Oryctolagus cuniculus: one gene and its partners. The protein of the gene in region 1 purifies or fractionates together with the protein of each later gene. This does not show direct contact. Links are inferred from orthologs where the notes say so. Each region holds a gene or a part of one and is shown in the gene's direction. Other genes may lie near its edges. The genes, in order: PPP2R1A, PPFIA1 and INTS11.

Region 1 (5,260 bases):
TTCACTCCGCAAATGGCCTCAGTGACCAGGGCTGGGCCAGGCTGAAGCCAGGAGCTTCATCTGGGTCTCCTACTTGGATGCAGGGGCCCAAACACTAGGGCTGTCTTCTGCTGCTTTTCCAGACACACTAGGAGGGAGCTGGATCAGAAGTAGAACAGCCAGGACTCTAGCCAGCACCTATATGGGATACCAGCACTGCAGATGGTGGCTTAACCTGCTACACCATAACACCGACCTCACTTTTCCTCCTCTTACAAAAGAGAGTCTCTGACTCTCCCAGGGCAGTGCTCAAACATGTTTGGGGAGCAGCAGGTCTTTGAGCTCTGAGGGGTGCAGTGAATTCACCACATTCCTGGCCTTCAGGGGCAGGTGTTATACAGGGGAAGGTCAACTCAAGGGAACTTTATTAGTAAAGTGGGGGCCGGTTCTGTGGTGCAGCTGGTAAAGCTGCCACCTACAGTGCCGGCATCCCACATGGGCGCTGGTTCGAGTCCTGACTGCTCCACTTCCGATCCAGCTTCCGCTATGGCCTGGGAAAGCAGTAGAAGATGGCCCAAGTGCTTGGGCCCCTGCACCCTCATATGGAATTTTCCACTTGTATCACATTGTGCTCAAAAAGCTTTGAATTTTGGAACATTCTGGATTTTGGGATTAGAGTTATTCAACTTAACTTGTGCTTCTGTTAACTGATCTTAAAAAAATAGAAACAAATATAAATCAAAAAGTAAGGGAGTAGGAATTGTGGCTCAGCAGGTTAAGCCACTGCTTGGGATGCCTGCTTCCATAACAGAGGACCTAGTTCAACTCCTGGCTACTCTGTGCTTCTGATCTAGCTTCCCGCTACCTGGCAGGTAGCAGATGATAGCCCAAGGACTTGGGTCCCTGCCACCCATGTGGAGACTTGGATGGAGTTCCTGGCTTTGTCCTGTCCAAACCCCAGCTCTTGGGGACATCTGGATGAGCCAACAGATGAAAGATCTCTTTCTCCCTCTCTGTGTGTGTCTGTTACTCTTCTTCTCAAATAAGTCTTTTAAAAAAAGAATCCACAGTATCATTAGAACTTTTTTTTTTTTTAATCCACTAACAGAAAACCCAGCCCACAATAGCTTGAACAATGAGATCTGTTGTTATTTGTAAGGAAAACTACCCTGAGGAAGGCGCAGCTCTCATTTTGCTTCCAAGGAAGCTGAGACGCAGACCGTTGCCTGAGGTCACACCACAGCACTGCGTTAGCTCCCAGGGATGACCCCAGGGCCCCTCCCCTGCTCTCTGCTCCACCTGTCTACACTTCTCAGGGGTGACCCAGGGCCCCTCCCCTGCTCTCTGATCCACCTGTCCACACTTCTCAGGGGTGACCCAGGGCCCCTCCCCTGCTCTCTGCTCCACCTGTCCACACTTCTCAGGGGTGACCCAGGGCCCCTCCCCTGCTCTCTGCTCCACCTGTCCACACTTCTCAGGGGTGACCCAGGGCCCCTCCCCTGCTCTCTGATCCATCTGTCTACACTTCTCAGGGGTGACCCAGGGCCCCTCCCCTGCTCTCTGCTCCACCTGTCTACACTTCTCAGGGGTGACCCAGGGCCCCTCCCCTGCTCTCTGCTCCACCTGTCTACACTTCTCAGGAGTGACCCAGGGCCCCTCCCCTGCTCTCTGCTCCACCTGTCTACACTTCTCAGGGGTGACCCAGGGCCCCTCCTCTGTTCTCTGCTCCACCTGTCTACACTTCTCAGGGGTGACCCAGGGCCCCTCCCCTGCTCTCTGCTCCACCTGTCTACACTTCTCAGGGGTGACCCAGGGCCCCTCCCCTGCTCTCTGCTCCACCTGTCTACACTTCTCAGGGGTGACCCAGGGCCCCTCCCCTGCTCTCTGCCCCACCTGTCTACACTTCTCAGGAGTGACCCAGGGCCCCTCCCCTGCTCTCTGCTCCACCTGTCTACACTTCTCAGGGGTGACCCCAGGGCCCCTCCCCTGCTCTCTACTCCACCTGTCTACACTTCTCAGGGGTGACCCAGGGCCCCTCCCCTGCTCTCTGCTCCACCTGTCTACACTTCTCAGGGGTGACCCAGGGCCCCTCCCCTGTTCTCTGATCCACCTGTCTGCACTTCTCAGGGTGACCCCAGGGCCCCTCCCCTGCTATCTGACCCCCATGCCTTTAACTGACTTGACCTCTCACACTCCCCATCTCCCTTCTCCTGTGCAGCTCCAGAAAGCAGTGGGGCCTGAGATCACCAAGACAGACCTGGTCCCTGCCTTCCAGAACTTGATGAAGGACTGTGAGGCCGAGGTGAGGGCCGCAGCCTCCCACAAGGTCAAAGGTTGGTGCTGGCGACCAGAACACAGCAAGTCGGGTGGGTATCTGAGGGACTGCACGTGGACTAGGCCATTGGGTCTCATCCCACCCTCCCCCTTCCTTCTCCCCACCCAGAGTTCTGTGAAAATCTCTCCACCGACTGTCGGGAGAATGTGATCATGACCCAGATTTTGCCCTGCATCAAGGTAACGGAGAGTTGGGGACGAATGGAGCAGGTCTGAGCCTACCAAGAAGAGGGGGTGGTGTCAGGAGGCTTGGGGACATCCAGAAGCAAACTGGGTTCCAGCCTTTGGGACCAGGCAGTCCTTGGTTTGAAGCCACTGAGGTCTTGATTGCAGGCAAAATCTGAGGCTTGGGGTTGACTTGGAGGTCTCGGAGTCCCCTTACCCATAGAACTGTTGGATTGGGGTGAGGGCTGCTAGCAGCAGGAACCATCAAACTCTGAGTCAGTGGGACATTTGAGGAACTGAATGTCCCCCAGAGTCAGCTCACCCTGCTCTGAGTGACAGGGCAAGAGCAAGCTGTTGTCTGAGGCTTCCTACAAGTTGATGTGCGTTTGGCGTGTGGTGCTTCAGAGATCGCCCTGACCCCTTCTTCCTCGCAGGAGCTGGTGTCAGACGCCAACCAGCACGTCAAGTCAGCGCTGGCCTCGGTCATCATGGGCCTCTCGCCCATCCTGGGCAAGGACAACACCATCGAGCACCTCCTGCCCCTCTTCCTGGCCCAGCTGAAGGATGAGGTAAGGGTGCAGGCGGGACCTCGGCTCCGGGTTTGCAGAAGGGACGGGAGGGCCAGCTGCTTGCTCACATCAGCTGGGATTCTCCTAGAATCGCAACAGACCCCCAGAGCTTTGCTCAGCTGATGAGTGTACAACCGTGTACACAGAGGTCACTCACTTGTCAGCATTATTTTGTGTCCTCAGCTCTGTGCTGCTCCTTATCTTGGGCATTAGGAATATGAGAAAAAGAATGAAATATTCTTACTATGTATTTTAAAAAAGAATAAAAATCTGAAGAAAAGAATCCTCAGAGACTAGCAGTGGAGCGTGCCGATGGATGGTTGCAGGGTTCCATGAAGGTGCTGTAGGTGCTGTGAGGACCACAGTGCCGTACTCGGGGTCTCGGGATTCAGTGTCCTAAATAAAACCGAAGATTGCTCTTCACAGCAGTCCAGGTGGCCCTACACTAGTGGATTAACCCTGGCAACCTCAAGTCCCTGTGTCTGCGGTGACTGCCCTAGTGTTTTACTGTCCCCCAGGCCCCAGGAAAGGCAAAGGCAGCACACAGTGGCCGGCCACTCCTCTTGAGAACAAGGCCCATCACGGCAGCTTATACCCCACATATCCCATGGGCCAGAGTTGGTCGCATGACCACACCTAGCTGTTCGGTTGGCCTGGACTACAGAGCATGAGAGGGTGCTGGGTGGTGACTGGGGAGTTTGGGCTTGAATTTAGGCAAGAAGAGGGGCTAGAACGGATCAGTGTTAGAAAGGACCACTGAGACTAAGAAGAGGTTGAGGCCGGCGCCGCAGCTTACTGGGCTAATCCTCCGCCTTGCGGCGCCGGCACACCAGGTTCTAGTCCCGGTCGGGGCGCCGGATTCTGTCCCAGTTGCCCCTCTTCCAGGCCAGCTCTCTGCTGTGGCCCGGGAGTGCAGTGGAGGATGGCCCAAGTCCTTTGGGCCCTGCACCCCATGGGAGACCAGGATAAGTACCTGGCTCCTGCCATTGGATCAGCGTGGTGCGCCAACGGCAGCGTGCCGGCCGCGGCGGCCATTGGAGGGTGAACCAACGGCAAAGGAAGATGTTTCTCTCTGTCTCTCTCTCTCACTGTCCACTCTGCCTGTCAAAAAATAAAAATAAATAAATAAATAAATAAATAAATAAAATGAAAAAATAAAATAAAAAAGAAGAGGTTGAAGTAAGGCTGCCGTAGCATTCTAGGTGGAGGAGGAAGGCTGCCGACTAGCTTATTTGACTTCCCTGTTTTTATTTTTTATTTGCGAGAGAGCTGTCATATCCACTGGCTCACTCCCCAGTGCTCGCAGTAGCCAGTATCAGGCCTGACCAGAGTCAGGAATTCAGTACAGATCTCCCAGATGGGTGGCAGGAACCCAGTTAGTTAAGCTATCACCCCAGCCTTGCAGGGTCCGCTTTAGCAGGAAGTTGGAGTCAGGAACCAAAGGTGAGCATCAGGCTCGGGCACTTTGATCCAGGATGTGGGGCTTTTAATCACCAGGTCACACGCCTGTCCCTACGGACCGTCTTCACCTCTGATGGAACACGTTGATGAGATTGTCCAGTTGTAGCCTTTGACACATACCCTGTGGCAGTCACTCACACAGAACCCTCCTGTCCTAGTGCCCTGAAGTGCGACTGAACATCATCTCCAACCTGGACTGCGTGAACGAGGTGATCGGCATCCGGCAGCTGTCCCAGTCCCTGCTGCCTGCCATCGTGGAGCTGGCTGAGGATGCCAAGTGGCGGGTGCGGCTGGCCATCATTGAGTACATGCCCCTGCTAGCTGGGCAGCTGGTGAGTACGCAGGCCTGGGCCCAGGTGGCGCTGCCCAGGGGAGGGCTCCGTGCCGTGTGTCCATACAGCCAGGGCAGTCCATGACAGCCGCCCAGGAGTTGAAAGAAGAGATCCAGGATATAGGTTCTTAAAAGATGAGTAATAGGATTCAGTAAGAGACGGAAAGGGACGCCTCAGGTGGATTTGAGGGGCAATTGGTCTTTCTGAGGCAGGTATAGTTTGTTTGGAGTATCACTGGCAACTCTCCCTTGAGCCCTAACCTCCTGTTCTTCTGCAGGGAGTGGAGTTCTTTGATGAGAAACTCAACTCTCTGTGCATGGCCTGGCTCGTGGATCACGGTGAGTACCTCCTGGAAGACAGCAAAGTGGAGATAGGAGCTCCTAGAGGGTGGACCCCTTGGATGAGGTATTTGGGGCATCC
Region 2 (5,260 bases), on another chromosome or scaffold:
TGCTGTTAAGATTGAATGATACCATTTATTTAGGGGGAAGATTTTTCTCAAACTTAAAGCCATTAACAAGGAAGTTTTTTTTTTTTTTTAAGATTTATTTATTTAATTGAAAGAGTTACACAGAGAACGAGAGGCAGAGAGAGAGAGAGGTCTTCCATCCGCTGGTTCACTCCCCAATTGGCCTCAACAGCTGGAGCTGTGCCGATCTGAAGCCAGGAGCCAGGAGCTTCCTCTGGGTCTCCCACGCGGGTGCAGGGGCCCGAGGACTTCGGCCATCTTCCACAGGCCACAGCAGAGAGCTGATGTGGAAGAGGAGCAGCCGGGACTGGAACTGGTACCCATATGGGATGCCGGCACTGCAGGTGGCAGCTTTACCCCTATGTCACCATGCTGGCCCCAACAAAAAAGTATTCTTAGCAGTATTATCAATGAGAGACATGAAAGGTATTCTGTTGTTACGCTGTGCTGATGTTGGGATAACTGTGTATGAAGATCATGGTGACTCCGTACAGACTCGGTGCTGCTTGTTTTCAGGTGAGAGAGCGGCTGCGAGTGGCACTTGAGCGGTGCAGTTTGTTAGAGGAAGAACTAGGAGCCACACACAAGGAGGTGAGCCTGAGAGTCTTCTGTGACTGGAGTGGAAGCTTCCATTCTCATGTCTGCCTTTGCGGAGCGAGCGAGTGAGGACCGCAAAGTGGCCTTTCCTCTCTGTCGAGGCGCGGGCTAGCCGGGTCATCTGGAGGCAGAGCCCCCAGTGCCATTTTGCTGTATGTAAACGAGCCCGTTTTTATTCATCTGTTACGTTCAGGACGCGTTACATTGCCACAGGCTTTCTTCTGTGTTTATCAGTTTATAGCTGTGTTTTTCCAGAAGAAGTGTTTCTGTCTCTACTTAGTTGTTTGCTGTAAGATATTTTACTCTCTCATTCAATGTTTTGATTTTAGCTAATGATTCTTAAAGAACAGAATAACCAGAAAAAAACAGTAGCAGAGGGAGTGCCGGACGTGAACCACGAGCAAGAGGACGTGCCGCACACAAACGGAAAGGCAAGTCCGCACGCCAGGTTCACCATCCCTGGGCGGGGCTGTCTGGAGAGCGCCTGCTGCATGCGCAGTCACGCAGCTCGCACACACGTGCTCTGTGCTTGCACCTGCCTGTCTCGTGGCGCCCGTCGAGGATGCTGATGCTGTCCCTTTCCCGCCAGAGGTCTTCGGACGGCTCTCTGAGCCACGAGGAGGACCTGGCGAAGGTGCTGGAGCTCCAGGAGGTCATCGACAGGCAGTCGAGAGAGCAGAGCCAGATGAAGGAGCGCCTGGCCGCCCTGTGCACCCACGTGGCCGAGCTGGAGGACGACCTGGACACGGCCAGGAAGGACCTCATCAAGTCCGAGGAGACCAACACCAAGCTGCAGCGAGACGTCCGTGAAGTGAGTGACGGCAGGCGCTGCCGTGGTGGGGTGCATGGGCTGTGTAGGGGAGTAGATCGTGTGGCTCCTTTTTGTCCGTCCTCTCCCAGTTGCTTTCGAGCGTGGATGAGCGTGTAAATAGCAGGGAGTGCTGAGGGACTCTCGGGCCACTGCCCCAGCTCACCCCCAAACGCCGCCCGCGTCCTGCGGCTGCGGGCGGACAGCTGGTGTCATTGTGTCTTCATTACGTTCAGATGCTCTCCTGATGCACACTTAGCTAGAGGTCAGAGTCGGCATTGGGTGTGCTGTAGGTGCACTTCAGGGGACTCCCTGACCCCAGCAGCACGGCCAGCCCTCTGCATCTGGGCGTCCCACATCTGCAGATTCAGCCAGCTGCATTTGTACTGACCATGTACTGACTTCTCCTCACTACCTAAACACTGCAGCCCAACAACTGTGTACACAGCAGGAACACTGTGTGAGTGGTTGTGAGTCATCTGCATGAGTTAGAAGTGGGAGGGTATGCGTAGGTTCTGTGCAGACATTGCACCATCTCAGATGAGGGACTTGAGCGTCTGTGCATGTTGGTTTCCGTGGATATCTGTACCCTACAGATACAAGGGACGACTGTGAGTGTGAGGGTGCATATCGGGTGTCAAGTGAACAGTGAGAGTACAGTGGGACGACTGAGTGTGAGGGTGGAAATCAGATGTCAGGTGAACAGTGAGAGCAGTGGGACGACTGAGTGTGAGGGAGGGTGTCAGGTGTCAGGTGAACAGTGAGGGTGCAGTGGGACGACTGAGTGTGAGGGTGGGTGTCAGGTGAACAGTGAGTGCAGTGGGATGATTGTGACTGGGAGGGTGGGTATCAGGTGAGCAGTGAGTGTAGTGGGACGACTGTGAGTGTGAGGGTGGGTGTCAGGTGTCAGGTGAACGGTGAGGGTGCAGTGGGATGACTGAGTGTGAGGGTGGGTGTCAGGTGTCAGGTGAACAGTGAGTGCAGTGGGATGACTGAGTGTGAGGGTGGGTGTCAGGTATCAGGTGAACAGTGAGTGTAGTGGGATGACTGAGTGTGAGGGTGGGTGTCAGGTGAACAGTGAGGGTGCAGTGGGATGACTGAGTGTGAAGGTGGGTATCAGGTGTCAGGTGAACAGTGAGTGCAGTGGGACGACTGACTGTGAGGGTGGGTGTCAGGTGAACAGTGAGTGTAGTGGGACGACTGTGAGTGTGAGGGTTGGGTATCAGGTGTCAGGTGAACAGTGAGTGCAGTGGGACGACTGAGTGTGAGGTTTGGGTGTCGGGTGAACAGTGTAGTGGGACGACTGAGTGTGAGGGTGGGTATCGGGTGTCAGGTGAACAGTGAGTGTGTGGGACGACTGAGTGTGAGGGTGGGTATCGGGTGTCAGGTGAACAGTGAGGGTGCAGTGGGACAACTGAGTGTGAGGGTGGGTATCGGGTGTCAGGTGAACAGTGAGGGTGCAGTGGGATGACTGTGAGTGTGAGGGTGGGTATCGGGTGTCTGGTGAACCATGGGGTTCAAGGGGATGACTGAGTATTATTGTTGGGTATCGGATAGCAGGTGAACAGTGCGGGTGCAGGGGGATGACTGTGAGTATTAGGGTTGGGGGTCAGTATTCAGGTGAGTAATGAATGTGGGATTTTCTTACACTTGAGTTATCAATATATAAACCATTAAATTTTGCATTTTTGAAGAACCTTTTTGCTTGGTAACTATTTGCTGGGAACTCTGTCATTGTTTTTATGAGAAGCAAATGAGAGCTGGCTACTTTCTCTGGTAACTTTAAAAGAAATTGAGATGCAGACAGACAGAATGAGAGGCAGAGCTCTCATATGCTGGTTACTCCCCCAAGTACTGTGATGGCCTTGGCCAAAGCCAGGAGCCTGGAACTCCACCAGGTCTCCCGTGTGGGTGGCAGGATCCCAGTCACTTGAACTCTTACCACTGCCTCTCAGGGTCTGCGTTAGCAGGAAGCTGGAGCTGGAGCCAGAGCCCGGAACCAAGCCCAGGCCTCTCGACCACCAGGCTGCACGCCCGCGTTGAGTCGCTCTGCTCTGGCCTTCGCCCGCCCCGAGACTCTGCACTTGACACAGAAGCTGAGCAGGTGCACGGCTGCACTTCAGTTTGCTGGCTTCCTGTGCGCAGTGTGAGAATGGAGAGGCAGGATGAACATCTGCTGGCTACATGACCTGGGTTATGTTACTTGGCTGCTGTGGGAGATTATTTGTGTGGCAAACAGTCCTGAATTCTTTTAAAACCAGTTGCTTTCAGGGGTAGGCATTTGGCATAGCGGTGGAGATGCCCGTATGCCACATCCGAGTGCCCGAGTTCCGAACCACCTGCGGCTCCTCATTCCAGCTTCCCACCAGGGCAGGCTCTGGAGGTGGCAGTGCTGGCTCAAGGAGTGAACTCCTGGTCACCCGCGTGGGAGATCTGGATTAGGTTCCTGGCTACTGGTGTGGATCTGCCCCTGCCCCAGCCGTCACAGGCACGTGGGGCTGAACCAGCGGACGGGAGCCTGCTCGCTGATACGTGCTCGCGTGCGCGCTCTCTCTCTCTCTCATAATTAAAGTCTGTTCATTTCAGTATTAAGACCTTAGTAACATTAGTGCTTTAGTAAATAGAGACATTCCTAAGAACAGTGGGATTCTGGGTGGAGGACAGATTTGCTGGTACAGAAGCGTGTAAATGTTGGGCACTGTGTGGGGTCAGTTTTTTTTTTTTTTTAATCTTTATTTTTTTATTTTTTTTTTTGACAAGCAGAGTGGACAGCGAGAGAGAGAGAGAGAAAGGTCTTCCTTTTGCCATTGGTTCACCCTCCAATGGCCGCCGCAGCCGGCGCGCTGCGGCCAGCGCACTGCGCTGATCCGATGGCAGGAGCCAGGTACTTATCCTGGTCTCCCATGGGGGGTGCAGGGCCCAAGCACCTGGGCCATCCTCCACTGCACTCCCTGGCCACAGCAGAGAGCTGGCCTGGAAGAGGGGCAACCGGGACAGAATCCGGCACCCCAACCGGGACTAGAACCCGGTGTGCTGGCACCGCAAGGCGGAGGATTAGCCTAGTGAGCCGCGGCGCCTGCCCGAGGTCAGTTTTGCTATGAATTTTAGTAGCTGGGTCTAAGTTGAATTTCGACTTCTGGTCCATTTGTTAATGTGCTTGAGTTCTGTGATTGTGTGCGATTTCGTCTGTCGAGAGGCCCACGTGCCCGTGTCAGCCATCTGGGACTAGCCTGCTTCCTCATCGCATCTTCCTTTTCCTCCTGAATTCTGGCCGTGCTGCAGAGTTGCATCGTTTGGATTTTTGTAATATCTTGTCACAAAGGATAAGCTTGATAACCAAATGTTCAGACAGATCTCTGCTGGTCGTACACGTGGGTATTTATATTTTAGGTTGGGTTTTTTTTAACCAGCATTTGAGAAAATTGGCATCTCTGTCACTTTAATTTTGTGGATGTTAATTTTATATGTAATTTGAAATCTAGAGTTAGTCCAGTTTTTTCCTTTCAGGTATATTAATGTTAGATATTTATTTTCTACCTTTTTTCCCCTCTGAAATACCTCATTTAGGCCATGGCCCAAAAGGAAGACATGGAAGAGAGAATCACGACTCTGGAGAAGCGCTACCTCGCGGCGCAGCGTGAAGCCACATCTGTGCACGACCTCAACGATAAACTTGAAAATGAGATTGCAAATAAAGATTCCATGCATCGACAGGTGACGGGTTCCACAGACCTTTGTCTGGCTTTAATGAATTTTAGTCAAGTGAAAGACCTTTTTCCCGGGCTGTGGAAAGTTTGTATGATATTAGAATGTTGTGTTGGAGAGCATGGGTCACTT
Region 3 (5,132 bases), on another chromosome or scaffold:
ACGGGGCCTGGCTCACAGCCGTGTCACGGTCGTCGCTCCCTGACCGCGGGGCCCTGGCCCACAGCCGTGTCATGGTCGTCGCTCCCAGACCGCGGGGCCTGGCCCACAGCCGTGTCACGGTCGTCGCTCCCTGACCGCGGGGCCTGGCCCACAGCCGTGTCACGGTCGTCGCTCCCTGTGCTTCTGTGTGCGGGGCCCAGGCAGAGCCTACTGCTGTGGCCCCTGCCCCTGAGCGCGGCCCCTCCCCCGCAGGTGGACGACGAGCTGGAGATCAAGGCTTACTACGCGGGCCACGTGCTGGGGGCAGCCATGTTCCAGATTAAAGTGGGCTCAGAGTCCGTGGTCTATACGGTAGGTGGAAGGCTGGGGGCGGGGCTTCCCCGGGGGCGGGGCAGCCTCTTCATCGCCACTTCCCCACAGGGCGACTATAACATGACCCCCGACCGGCATTTGGGGTGAGTCCCACATGTACCTCGCCCATCCTGGGGGTGAGGGTCCCGGCCCCTGCTCAGCGTGCGGATGTCCCCTGTGGGTCGTCCCCCCTGGGGACTTGGGGCCTAGGTGCTTGAAGGCCCGAGGCCCAGTCGCTCGGGCCCGTGCAGTGCTGGACGTCCGTCTGTTCCAGAGCTGCCTGGATCGATAAGTGCCGCCCGGACCTGCTCATCACGGAGTCCACCTACGCCACCACCATCCGCGACTCCAAGCGCTGCCGTGAGCGGGACTTCCTCAAGAAGGTCCACGAGACCGTGGAGCGGGGCGGCAAGGTAGCCGCCGTCCGGCCAGCTGCCCGGGCCACGTGCTCCGGGGGCGGCCGCTGGAGCCCTTCCCCGTGGTCCCCGGCGGGGGGTCGGGGGCACTGCACACCCTCGCACGGGCAGGGCTGCCTGGCCCCGCTGGGAGCAGGCTCCAGCCGTAGGACCGGCTGTGCCTTGCTGCTGGGTGGGAGCCCCGCCTGAGCGCCCCCGTCCTGCAGGTGCTGATCCCCGTGTTTGCGCTGGGCCGTGCGCAGGAGCTCTGCATTCTGCTGGAGACCTTCTGGTAGGTGGGCCAGGGCTCTCCCGGCTCCGCTGGCGTCTGCTTACTGTCGGGGCAGTGGGGGCTGCCCCAGTCCGGGGGCCCCGTGTTGTCCCCATACTGGCCATGTCAGGGCCCTCGTCAGCTCCAGCGCATCACAGGACACAGGCTGGGGCATCAGCCGGTGGTCACAGCAGCGGGACCGGGCTGGGGTGGCCACGGGTGTGGGGAGCGGCCCAGGCCTGCGATGGCTGTGCTGACCGGGCTGGGGTGGCCACGGGTGTGGGGAGCGGCCCAGGCCTGCGATGGCTGTGCTGACCGGGCTGGGGTGGCCACAGGTGTGGGGAGCGGCCCAGGCCTGCGATGACTGCGCTGACCGGGCTGGGAAGGCCCCGGGTGTGGGGAGTGGCTCAGGCCTGCGATGACTGCGCTGACCAGGCTGGGCCCACAGGGAGCGCATGAACCTGAAGGTGCCCATCTACTTCTCCACCGGGCTCACGGAGAAGGCGAACCACTACTACAAGCTCTTCATCACCTGGACCAACCAGAAGATCAGGAAGACCTTCGTGCACAGGAACATGTTTGAGTTCAAGCACATCAAGGCCTTCGACCGGGCGTTTGCCGACAACCCTGGGCCCATGGTACTGCCTCGCCGTCCACACACGGGCTCTGCGTCCCTCTCGGGGTGGGGGTCCCTGCTCGCGGGCGGGTCTGAGGCTGTGCCCGAGGGGCGACTGCTGCCTCACCCGCCCCCCACGCTGTCCGCCCTGCAGGTCGTGTTTGCCACGCCGGGCATGCTGCATGCCGGCCAGTCCCTGCAGATCTTCCGGAAGTGGGCAGGAAACGAGAAGAACATGGTGAGGGGCTGGGCCCAGGTCCAGCTCCGGGCGGCCCAGGCTGGGCAGAGGGGGCACAGGCATTCCCACAGGCCGGAAGGACGGTCCTCTCCACTGCCCCCACTGCTGCAGGGCGGCTGGGGCAGCTGGGGTTCAGCGCCCGTCAGGCAGGAAGGCCCTTGACTGCCGAGGCCTCCACGCGGTCAGCCTCCGGCCCCGCCCCCACCCCGCAGGTCATCATGCCTGGCTACTGCGTGCAGGGCACCGTGGGCCACAAGATCCTGAGCGGGCAGCGCAAGCTGGAGATGGAGGGGCGGCAGGTGGTGAGTCCCCCCCCCCCCGGGCTGGGCGCGGGCTGGGCGCAGGCGACTGAGCTCCGCCCGCGGCCCCGCAGCTGGAGGTGAGGATGCAGGTGGAGTACATGTCCTTCAGCGCCCACGCCGACGCCAAGGGCATCATGCAGCTGGTGGGGCAGGCGGAGCCGCGGCGCGTGCTGCTGGTGCACGGCGAGGCCAAGAAGATGGAGTTCCTCAAGCAGAAGATCGAGCAGGAGTTCCGTAGGCTGCGGGCGGGGCGGGGCCGGGGTGGGGCCGGGGGCGGGGGGGCTGGGGGGGCCCTGGGGGCTGAGGGGCTGGGGCCGGGGGCCAAGGGGCTGGGGAGGCCGGGGGCTGGGGGGGCCCGGGGGGGCTGAGGGGCTGGGGCCGAGGCTGAGGGGGCCGGGGAGGCCGGGGGGGGGCAAGGGGCGGGGCCGGGGGCGGGGGGGCGGAGGGCGCTGGGGGGGCCCGGGGGCGGGGGCGGGGCCGGGGGCTGTGCGGGAGGGCTGGCTGCTCTGCCTCAGGTTCTCTCTGCACTGCCCCCGGCCAGGAGTCAGCTGCTACATGCCCGCCAACGGCGAGACGGTGACGCTGCCCACAAGCCCCAGCATCCCTGTGAGCGTCTCCCTGGGACTGCTGAAGCGGGAGATGGCACAGGGTACGCGTGTGTGTGTGTGTGTGTGTGTGCAGGGGCACAGGGTGCACACGCGTGTGTGTGTGTGTGCAGGGGCACAGGGTACGTGTGTGTGTGTGTGCAGGGGCACAGGGTACGCACGCGTGTGTGTGTGCGCAGGGGCACAGGGCACCCGTGTGTGTGTGTGTGTGTGCAGGGGCACAGGGTACGTGTGTGTGTGTGTACGCACACGCAGGGTATGTGTGGGGGCACAGCAGAGCCAGGCCCACCAGCAGACCCTCCCCCCCCTCCCCCGCAGTGCCGCTCCCTGAGGCCAAGAAGCCGCGGCTGCTGCACGGCACCCTGATCATGAAGGAGGGGGTGAGTGAGCCCTGCGCGGGGCGGGGGGGGGGGGGGCTCCTCTGCGCTGACCCTCCCGTCCCGCAGAACTTCCGGCTCGTGTCCTCAGAGCAAGCCCTCAAGGAGCTGGGCCTGGCCGAGCACCAGCTGCGCTTCACCTGCCGCGTGCACCTGCACGACACGCGCAAAGAGCAGGAGACGGCGCTGCGCGTCTACAGCCACCTGAAGAGGTGCGCGCCGCCCCAGGCCGGGCCTCCGCACTGCGCCCTCGGACCCCTGCCCAGGCCCCGCCCCCACAGCCCCGCCCCCAGCGTCCTCAGAGACCCCTGCCTAGGCCCCGCCCTCACAGCCCCGCCCCCAGCGTCCTCGGAGACCCCTGCGTGCCGCCCCGCCCCTGCCGGGCCCCGCCCCCTGCGTGCCGCCCCTCACGGCCCCTCCCCGCAGCGTCCTCAGAGACCACTGCGTGCAGCACCTCCCCGACGGCTCGGTGACCGTCGAGTCCATCCTCATCCAGGCCGCCGCCCACTCCGAGGACCCCGGCACCAAGGTGCTGCTGGTGTCCTGGACCTACCAGGTGAGGGGGGGGTCTCCCGGGCAGCCCCTCCCCACCGCCGGCTCCGCCCTGGGGGCAGCGGCTGACCCCGCCTTCCCGCCTCCCCACAGGACGAGGAGCTGGGCAGCTACCTCACTGCCCTGCTCAAGAAAGGCCTGCCCCAGGCGCCCAGCTGACCCGCTGCTGCGGGGACCTGGGTGGACACAGCCCGCACCCAGCTGACCTGCTGCTGCGCCCGGATGGCGGGGGCCTGGGTGGACACAGCCCGCGCCCAGCTAACCCACTGCTGCGCCTGGACGGCGGGGGCCTGGGTGGACACAGCCCACGCCCAGGTTTGGTCCCACATCTGCTCAAGCGGCATTGCTGGCTGAAGACATGGACAGGTCGGCCTCCGGGGCCTCCTCGTCTTTTATTAACTCGACCTCTGGGCAGTTCAGTAAAGGCAGATGGAGCACGGGCGTGGCCTCCTTGTGCACGGTGGGGGGGCCGAGGGCATCGGGTCTCTGCTGGGTGCAGCAGCCAGGCTCCGGCTCTGGCCGGGCGTCCAGGGTCACCTGTGGTTCCCCGGGGCAGGACCTGTGGGACGGCCCGTGTCAGCTGGAGGCGGGTGTGGCCTGGGCCCTGACCACCACCCCTCCACTGCAGGCCGCGTGCTGCGAGCAGGGCTCCCCGCAGATGGCCTTACCCGGGTCTCCCAGGTCCCCGTACTGCACTGACTTCAGAAACAGACCGTGGGCCGGGACCACGCGAGCCTGGTGCTTGCCCAGCGGGTCCCGGCTGTCCAGAATCTCCTTCACCTGGGCGGGCGCCAGCGACCCCAGCCCCACTGCCACCAGCACGGCTGTCATCCTGCGTACCTGGGACCCGAAGCCAAGGCTGGCACTGGCGCTGCCCCCGCCCCGCGCCCCCTGGGGCAGGCACACCCCACCCACCCCGGCGCACCTGTCTGTACAGGAACGACTGGCTCTCAAACTCCAAGCTCCAGAAGCGCAGCCTCCTAGCCAGAGACGCTAGATGTCCAGGGCGGCCCCAGCTGACCACCAGCCCCCAAGTCAGCCAGGGCAAGAGGCTGACACCAGGCTGGGGTGCCTATGGGGCGGGCACTCCTGCCAGGATGCCCCTCCCCAACCTGGTGGGCTGTGGAGGCCCCTGGACAGTGCCAGGGGCAGTGGTGTCCACCCAGCTGGGCTGCACCAGGCCTCCAGCCCCAAGGAGGCCTTTCTGACAGCTGCCAGAATCCCCCCCCCAGAGAGCCCAGGTCGCTACACCAGAACAGCAGCCAGGCCCCGGGCCCGCCCTGACGCCCTGAGCCGCGGCTCCTCACCTGCTCTCCTGGGGGAGCGCGAAGGGGCTGGCGGGGGCGGGGGACACGGACACGCGGCGCAGCGTGCGCACTGGGCTGCCGGCCGGGCTGCCGGCCGACCGGAAGGCACTGAAGTCGT

What was found.
Region 2: the proteins of PPP2R1A (region 1) and PPFIA1 purify together in Homo sapiens (affinity purification with mass spectrometry; 7 studies listed by BioGRID and IntAct, with this or other methods). This does not show direct contact. The link is inferred for Oryctolagus cuniculus from reciprocal best matches to the Homo sapiens genes PPP2R1A and PPFIA1.
Region 3: the proteins of PPP2R1A (region 1) and INTS11 purify together in Homo sapiens (affinity purification with mass spectrometry; 3 studies listed by BioGRID and IntAct, with this or other methods). This does not show direct contact. The link is inferred for Oryctolagus cuniculus from reciprocal best matches to the Homo sapiens genes PPP2R1A and INTS11.

Annotation. Positions count from the first base shown.
Region 1 is NC_091449.1:6,440,068-6,445,327, forward strand, and holds part of PPP2R1A (serine/threonine-protein phosphatase 2A 65 kDa regulatory subunit A alpha isoform), read left to right. Parts: intron 1-2,197; coding exon 2,198-2,312; coding exon of another isoform or gene 2,313-2,345; intron 2,346-2,422; coding exon 2,423-2,493; intron 2,494-2,883; coding exon of another isoform or gene 2,884-2,912; coding exon 2,913-3,047; intron 3,048-4,666; coding exon 4,667-4,840; intron 4,841-5,117; coding exon 5,118-5,178; intron 5,179-5,260. UniProt on the Homo sapiens protein: The PR65 subunit of protein phosphatase 2A serves as a scaffolding molecule to coordinate the assembly of the catalytic subunit and a variable regulatory B subunit.
Region 2 is NC_091432.1:2,274,543-2,279,802, forward strand, and holds part of PPFIA1 (liprin-alpha-1), read left to right. Parts: intron 1-534; coding exon 535-609; intron 610-944; coding exon 945-1,046; intron 1,047-1,204; coding exon 1,205-1,426; intron 1,427-4,990; coding exon 4,991-5,137; intron 5,138-5,260. UniProt on the Homo sapiens protein: May regulate the disassembly of focal adhesions. May localize receptor-like tyrosine phosphatases type 2A at specific sites on the plasma membrane, possibly regulating their interaction with the extracellular environment and their association with substrates.
Region 3 is NC_091438.1:164,190,491-164,195,622, forward strand, and holds the end of INTS11 (integrator complex subunit 11), read left to right. Parts: exon of another isoform or gene 1-98; intron 99-143; exon of another isoform or gene 144-252; coding exon 253-351; intron 352-420; coding exon 421-455; intron 456-625; coding exon 626-764; intron 765-973; coding exon 974-1,038; intron 1,039-1,465; coding exon 1,466-1,655; intron 1,656-1,787; coding exon 1,788-1,871; intron 1,872-2,083; coding exon 2,084-2,173; intron 2,174-2,244; coding exon 2,245-2,407; intron 2,408-2,714; coding exon 2,715-2,822; intron 2,823-3,096; coding exon 3,097-3,158; intron 3,159-3,224; coding exon 3,225-3,367; intron 3,368-3,581; coding exon 3,582-3,711; intron 3,712-3,800; coding exon 3,801-3,866; downstream 3,867-5,132. Other genes in the region: PUSL1 (tRNA pseudouridine synthase-like 1), read right to left, coding at 3,835-4,266, 4,633-4,687, 5,015-5,132.